2 linked regions of the Macaca fascicularis genome follow. The main gene of each other region encodes a partner of the protein of the gene in region 2 in a complex. Links are inferred from orthologs where the notes say so. Each region holds a gene or a part of one and is shown on either strand. Other genes may lie near its edges.

Region 1 (3,747 bases), about 2.6 Mb from region 2:
TTTTCTTAATGGTTGAAATGTTCTAAGAAATTATTAAAAATTATTTAAATTACTAAAAATGATTACAAATGTGAATATTTGTACATGTCAGGAAATGCTATATGACACTGTTAACTTATGAATAACCTAAATAGTATTAGGAACACCACATAAATTGTTAATACTTATAGAAGTATTGGTAATTTAATAAGTAATTGGTAATTTATTTCCTGGCTAAATTATGAACCAAAAAATGATAAATAAAAGTATAGGTAATTCATGTTAAAGCACATTTCATTTAAACTTATAGAAAGATTTTACAGTTGTCAAGGTGAGTAAAGGCCACTTTTGTTGTGTAAGTACTTGTAAAATTTCAGATAATGTAATTAAATCATTTAGTCAATGGGCTCTGGAGTGAGTGAGATCTAGAATGAATTCTAGCTTTGACACTTACAATGTGTGACCTTTAAAAAGTTATTCTATGTTTAATAACCCAGTTTGTTAATCTAAGACGGGAATAAGAACATATAAAACGTTGCATGTAAAACATTTACCACTCAACCTGGCACTTAAAGTTCTCAATAAGCATTAGCTATTTTAATTATTATTTTAGTCACAATTGTTATGTTACTGTTTCTGATTCGTGTCAGTTAAAGAATGGAAAATGAATCTTCAGATAAGTCTCCTATATCCGTGTGCTACATCTTTTTTTGCAATATTTTGATAAACTTTAAAAAAGTATTTTGATTGTTTTGTATTACCTTTAGCATTTTATGTACTCTACCTCATTGTGATTTTTATTAAAAATAAAAACTGCTTTTATTTAATCTACATGTCTGAGGAACTGTATTTGGCTTTCATCAATTGATTCATTTATTTTAATAATCTTTAATGGCTAAGCTAAATATAAATTATTATTCAAAGATACATGATGTACTGATTACAAAATACAAAATTAATTGTTCATTATTGTGATGTTAATAGGTTTCACTTAAATTATATTGATCAACAAACCCACTAGGTTTCCACAAACAAGAATTTGAAAACTTTAAGAAATCCTTCAACATATTTCATATGGTTTTTACCCTGAGTTATTCAAATGAAGACAGCAATGTTCTACTTTGATTTTACTGTATATTAATTATACCTCCTTTGTACCATATTGAGCACTTGTAATCACCCACTAAATGAGGTAGGCTAGTAGAGAGTTGGAGAGTAGCAACACATACCTTCTGTCCCCAGAAAGTCACACATCCTTTAGTGGAGAGGCCAGGTTAGTCTCACAAAAAGGCCTGCTATAGCTGGGAAATAAAAGGTGAAATTTAAAGGCATAAATCCAGGACAAGAACAAACAATGCCTACAATCTTCGCAGACTGCCCTGTGAAGGCTCAGAGTGAGTCAAGAGTGGAAAAAGTAGATTTCTCATCAACGTGTTACTAAGGTTTGAACAGGAAATTCTACACATGGGCTATTGTGAAATCAGTTTAATCTCATCACACACCTCCAAAATATAGGATACTCTGGTCTGTTAAAAGTACAAGGTTGACTTTGAAAGTGGGTCATTTAGTTGGTCCATTTTTCAAGCACCTATGAGAATTTTTTTTTCTGTTTTGATCACAAACATTGCCAACCCCCACCTTGTTAAGAGTGCCTTTTAGACTAGATTGCTAAATCTTAACATTGCATACTTCTTTTCTTTATATTATTTTATTATGTCACTTCCATTATAATAGAAAACATTCTAAAACTCATAGTAACATTATCAACTGATAGCTACTGATTTTTTCCTTAATTATTCTGAAAAATTACTGCAGTAATTACTCAGTTGACTGTAGCTGACACAAAAACCATCATTGCCAAAGTTATGTTATTAACTTAGTTCTTAAATTTTTGCATTTAATTTTTAAAAAATAGATTATTTAATCTTCAGATTACCATTGATGAAAATAAATGTATCTTGGAAGGGTAAAATATTAATCAATTTTGAAATATATTAGCATACCAGAGATTGAAATATTAAATAGCTATTCATCATATTCTTCATTTATCCATTCTCCACCATAACAAATTATCTCAACTTCGAAAGAAATATTTAGTTGTAAATGACAAAAACTGAAGGCAGGCTCTGTATCGGGAAAAAGTAATTTTAAAATCTCACTAGGAGAAAAGTCAGCAAATTGGCAGAATAGGTGGTCCCCCACACATATGCCCCAACAGCAACAATAATGTTTCAGCCATCCACAGACAAAAGTGGAGGAAACTCCCTTTGAGGGAGTTTTGGAATTCAAGTAGGAGTTTGTAAAATGCCAGTGGAACCCAAGACCTAGGAGGGTTGCTTTAGAGAATAGATTTGCATCCAAGTGGCAGACTTACCAACAGTGATTCCATCTCCAGACCTGAAAAGAGACCCATCCTCCTGTGGACTTGCCTTCAGCCGCATTAGGACTTCGTCATGCTGCCAAAACCATCTGTCCAGGGGCCCAGGAGGAGACTCAAACACTAGTGTCTCAGGAGGTAGGCATATCAACTGTAGTCTCAATGTAGACCCTGAAACAGCCCTCTAACTTGGCTTTAGCTACTCTCAGCCACAACTTTTGAGATCAGTCTTTCACCCACAGAGACTTCCTGGGAGACATATACATCTGTTCCCCTGGGGCATGCTTGCTGACCTCTGTCCTCTAGAAGATACTAAAATGGCCCTGAATCTCCACTCAAACTCCTCTCAACTGTGGCCTGAGTTAATCACAGGAAATTGCTGTGAGACTCACTCATCTTTGGCAGCAGTACAGGCTTGCTGACTTCAGTTCCATGGTAGTTTCTGAAACAGCCTTGAATCATGACCCTCATCCTTCTCAGCTGTGGGCTGTGAGCAGTCTTGCCAGCTCAGGGATACAGAGGGAGGGCATGTGCATCCATGTCCCGACTGGGAGACCGTTGACCTAGGTTTCACAGCACATCCTGAAATGGGCCAGAAAAGGGGGTTCAACCCTCCTCAGCTATGCTAGAGAGCAGTTTGCCCACACAGGGACCTGGAGAGAGACACCATAAGTGCCCCTAAAGGTACAGACCTTAGTTTTATTTCAGATCTTGAAACAATCCTGTGATCCAGCTCCAGCCCATCTTAACTACAGTCTGAAGCAAGTTTGCCTGCCCAGATACCTGCCAGAAAACACACTCATCCATGACCCCAGAGACAGACATGAAGACACTGGTTTCAGCTATAGACTCCGAGGAAACCTTGTGACTTAGCACTAACTCCTCTCAGCCACAGGTTGAGGAACCCACTCAGAGACCCATGAGCAGCCTTCCCAGAAAACTAGATAAACTCTCCCCCAACTACACACCTAATAATAGACCCACCATCTACAGACCCTGAAGTGGACCCTCATTCCCTCCCCAGCCCTATAGAGTATGATGCTAGAGCCAGTTTGGTCCTCTGAGGGACTAAGGAGGATACAAGCCTGCTAGAAGCCCTAGTAACAGGATCATGAACCAAAGATCCCACTCTGGACCCATAAGCAACCATGTGATCCGGCTGTAACCCCATTCAACCATGACACTGAAGGCAATCTCATCAGCCCAGGACCCTAATAGGAGAAGGTCTTAACCTACCGAAACCAGTCTGTAAAGACTGAAAGAGATGTCTGCTCTTTCAAGTGCACAGACACCAGTACAAGGATAAACAAATAACAAAGCATCAGACATATATGACACCACCAAAGGAAATGAATAAAGCTTTAGCAACTGATTCAAATAAATGGAGATCT
Region 2 (3,747 bases):
CTCCCAGGTTCGAGCAATTCTCCTGCCTCAGCCTCCCTAGTAGCTGGGACTACAGGTGCGCCCTACTGTGCCCGCCTAATTTTTTTTCTTTTCTTTTCTTTTCTTTTTTTGTATCTTTAGTTGAGACAGGGTTTCACTATGTCGGCCAGGCTGGTCTCGAACTCCTCCCAAAGTGCTGAGATTACAGGCGTGAGCCACCGCGCCCAGCCAGTTGTCACTTTTTCTTTCTTCTTTCTTTTGGCCAGTTGTCACTTTTTCTTTTTCTTTTTTTTCTTCTTTCCTCTTTCTCGCTTTCCTTTTCTTCCTTCTTTCTCTTTTTCTTTCTTTCTTCCTCTCCTTCCTTTCTTCCTTCCTTCCTTCCTCTCTCTCTCTCTCTCTTTTTTTGACACAGAATCTTGCTTTGTCACCCGGGCTGAAAAGTGCAGTGTCACAATCACAACTCACTGCAGTCTCAACCTCCTTGGCTCAGGTGATCCTCCTGCCTCAGCCTCCCAAGTAACTGAGACCACAGGTGCGTGCCACTATGTCCAGCTATTTAGTAGTAGTAGTCGTCATAGTTGAGATGGGGTCTCTCTGTATGTTGCCCGGCGTGGTCTTGAACTCCTAGGCTCAAGTGATCCTCCCACCTCAGTCTCCCAAACTGCTGGGACTACTACATGCTTGGGCCATCACACCCAGTATTTTTTTTTTTTTTAATAGAGATGGAATCTCTCTATGTTGCCCAGGCTTGTTTTAAACTCCTGAGCTCAAGCGATCCTCCCATCTCGGCCTCCCAAAGTGCTGGGATCACAGGCATGCACCACCTCATCTGGCCAGGTTTTCACTTTCAACATCCCAGATCCAACAAGGTCTAACCTGCCGTGGCCCTGCCTCTGCTCCACGAGGGCCCTCTGCCACGGACACACGGTCCTTTTTTTGTTTGTTCCCACATTAGGGCTTTGTGCTCACCATCTCCTCTGCCCAGGGATGCTCCTCTGCCCAGGCCTTGATCACCACATCACATGGCTGGCTCCTCTTCCTCCTCAAGCAGGTCTCAGCTCAAATGTCACCTCCTCGGGAAGGCCTCCCCGATCCCTCCAGCTAGTAATGTCACCTGCACACCCAGTCACTTGCTAGCACATGAAGCTGGTTCATTTTCTTTTTTTTTCTTTGAGACAAGGTCTCGCTCTGTCGCCCAGGCTGGTGTGCAGTGGTGCAATCACTACTCACTGCAGCCTTGACCTCCCAGGCTCATAGCTGGAACCACAGACGCATTCCACCATACCCAGCTAATTTCTTATTTTTTGTAGAGACAGGGTCTCACTATATGGCCAGGCTGGTCTCAAACTCCTGGGCTCAAGCAATCGTCTCGCCTCAGCCTCCCAATGTGCTGGGATCACAGGCGTGAACTACTACACCCAGCCGAGGCTGTTTCATTTACTGCATAACACTTCTGAGAATCTGCAATGATCCAATTTATTGGGTTATTTGTTCAGTCTGTAACCTCCCACTGGAATGTAAGCTCCGTGAGAGCAGGGACCATGTCTGTCTTGTTCACTCCAGTATTACCAGCATCTTAAACAACACCTGGTGTGTAACAGACGCTCAACACGTACCTGTTGAATGAATGATGCAGGGGAACGGGAAGTGAAAGGAAACGGAAGGAAGATGGGACCAAAGTCAGATGTTGGGAAGAGCGGGGAAGTTGGCTGGGCATGGGAGGGCCTTCGCGGGTGGCCTCTGATTGCTGTTTCAGGTGTTGTGAGCTACCCACGGGGGACAGGTCCTAAGCAGGAGACAGAAGCAGGAGCCCAGAGGCTGGAAGTAGAAATGCAATGGAGAGAACAGATACACACTTGTCAGGCGGAAAATGTTAAAGATGGGGCAGAGGGGCATGAGTGAGCCTGGGGGTCCTCACACTTTGCGGGAAGGGGAAGGTTTATAGGGATCGGAAGCAGGCGCATGGCAGGGCAGCAGCAGATCGCACTCACGCTCACATACATGATGGAGTGAGCATCAACAAGGCCCTCCCTCCCTCCAAAACTAACAGGAGACTAGGACCCAGGTGGTGCCTGGGACTTACCCACAGGACAGCATCTCTCTGTAGGGATGGGGAAGTCACAGCGGAGGGCCACAGTGGGCGGGGCTGAGCCAGGAGCACAGCTGTGCACAGCGGCCCAAGCCAGGAGAGGAAGAACCACTCAGAAATCAGCCACTTCCTCCTCGATCCAGCCTGCCAGGCCAATGGCACCGCAGGGACAAACCCTGGACTAATAGTCTCCGGGAAAAGGACAGGTGGGGCGGGGCTGGCCTGAGACCGCCCACAGTGGCCAGCTTCCCTGCAGCCCCAGTGCGGGAGTACAGCAGGCCTGCCCGCTGGGCCAGGGCCCCCTTCCCTCGGGAGAGGAGGAGCCACCTGGAGCTCCACCTGGAGCTCAAGCTGACAGAGCAGCGGGACGCTGGGTAGGAGCAAAGACCAGGAAGTAACCCTGGCTGAGGGAAGAGCAACCAATGGGGGAAAGCTCTCAGTAGGTGGAAACCAAAGGGCCTAAGGGAAAGTCCTAACAGCCCAATTCCTCAGAGAAGGAGGTGTCCCCAGTGCAGGCCCGCCCACCCACCCAGAGCGTAGAGGGGCCCAGTCCAGCCTCTCACCCTGCCCTGGGGGAAGGGGAGGAGCCTCAGGCCCTCACTGGAGCAGGGTTAGGCCCAGCCAGGAGTATAGGAAGGAGCTGTACATGGGGATGGGGCCTGGAAAGGCAGAGGGAATCTGGGAAGGTGAGATGGGGGTTGTCAAGTCTGCAAAAGACTGACACCAAGGCTAAGTCACAGGCACGTTTATTATCGTCTGGAACATCAAGGCCTTTTCTTCCCTGGCAGGGGCACAGGGAGGGCCAACTCTCAGGAGGCAGCCACGCTGCCACCAGCAGCAGGCCCGTGGGGTGGCAGGGTCATGGGCGGCAGGAACAGCGCCTTCAGCTTGCCTGACAGGCTGGCGATCTCAGGATCCTGGGCTTCATAGGACTTGACCAAGCGAGCAAATTTAAGGACACCTGCAAGAGGGAGTGGAGGGTCAAAGCTTCTTCCAAGGACCAGCTGCGTAAGACAGCTGGAGGGGGTGGTAGTTTAAGCATGAACTGCTTCCCCACTGGCTGGGCAGCTGTTTGCAAAACAGGACGCATGCAGGCCTCTGTCCTATGTGGTTTGGATCAACTTCTTGGTCTACACTGGGCACAACTAGATGGGATGCAGTGAATGAAAATATCCCAAGGCAGTGTGCTTCTTGCTCTCAGGTGAACCCTTTTAGCAGTTTAGTCACTGGAACCCCATGAATGAACACGAGACCCCAGGTCTGTAGCTGGAACGCAGGAAGGCTATGGGGCAGCAGAGCTGAATCAGTCAGCACCTTTGGGGAACACCAGGATCTCACCAAAAATTTAACCACCAACCCCCAAACAGAAATTAGCTGAAACACCCTGGAGAGACTGCAGCCACTGCTGTAATGCAGACCTCTCACTAAAAGATGGCACAACAGCGTTGACGTCCAGCTCTGCTACTACTAAAAGTCTGCACCATTAGCGTTTGCTCCCTCATCACAAAATGTAATAATAATGTGATTCACAGTACAGGTTGACCATCCTTAATTAGAAAACCCAAAATCTGAAATTATTTGAGTGCCAGTGTGAAGCCAAAAATGGAAAATTCCACACCTGACTTCATGGTGGGGGGTGGGGGTGGGGGGACTGTAGTCAAAACGCAGTCAAAACTTTG

The links. Proteins that work in one complex are often made in the same cells at the same time.
Region 1: the proteins of PTPN6 (region 2) and KLRC1 are in contact, whole or in part, in an NMR structure (PDB 2YU7), measured with the Homo sapiens proteins. The link is inferred for Macaca fascicularis from reciprocal best matches to the Homo sapiens genes PTPN6 and KLRC1. Residues at the interface, in NP_002822.2 of Homo sapiens: Gly117, Gly118, Glu121, Arg136, Ser138, Leu139, Ser140, Val146, Thr165, His166, Ile167, Lys168, Val178, Gly179, Gly180, Leu181, Glu182, Ile199, Glu200, Glu201, Ala202; in NP_002250.2 of Homo sapiens: Ile38, Thr39, Tyr40, Ala41, Glu42, Leu43, Asn44, Leu45, Gln46, Lys47.

What each region holds. Positions count from the first base shown.
Region 1 is NC_088385.1:10,467,379-10,471,125, reverse strand, and holds the start of KLRC1 (NKG2-A/NKG2-B type II integral membrane protein), read right to left. Parts: upstream 2,727-3,747; 5' UTR 2,354-2,726; intron 1,387-2,353; exon of another isoform or gene 1,281-1,386; 5' UTR 1,209-1,280; intron 1-1,208. UniProt on the Homo sapiens protein: Immune inhibitory receptor involved in self-nonself discrimination.
Region 2 is NC_088385.1:7,882,514-7,886,260, reverse strand, and holds the start of PTPN6 (tyrosine-protein phosphatase non-receptor type 6), read right to left. Parts: upstream 2,240-3,747; 5' UTR 2,077-2,239; coding exon 2,063-2,076; intron 1,098-2,062; exon of another isoform or gene 949-1,097; intron 413-948; exon of another isoform or gene 225-412; intron 1-224. Other genes in the region: C11H12orf57 (protein C10), read right to left, coding at 2,878-3,029. UniProt on the Homo sapiens protein: Tyrosine phosphatase enzyme that plays important roles in controlling immune signaling pathways and fundamental physiological processes such as hematopoiesis.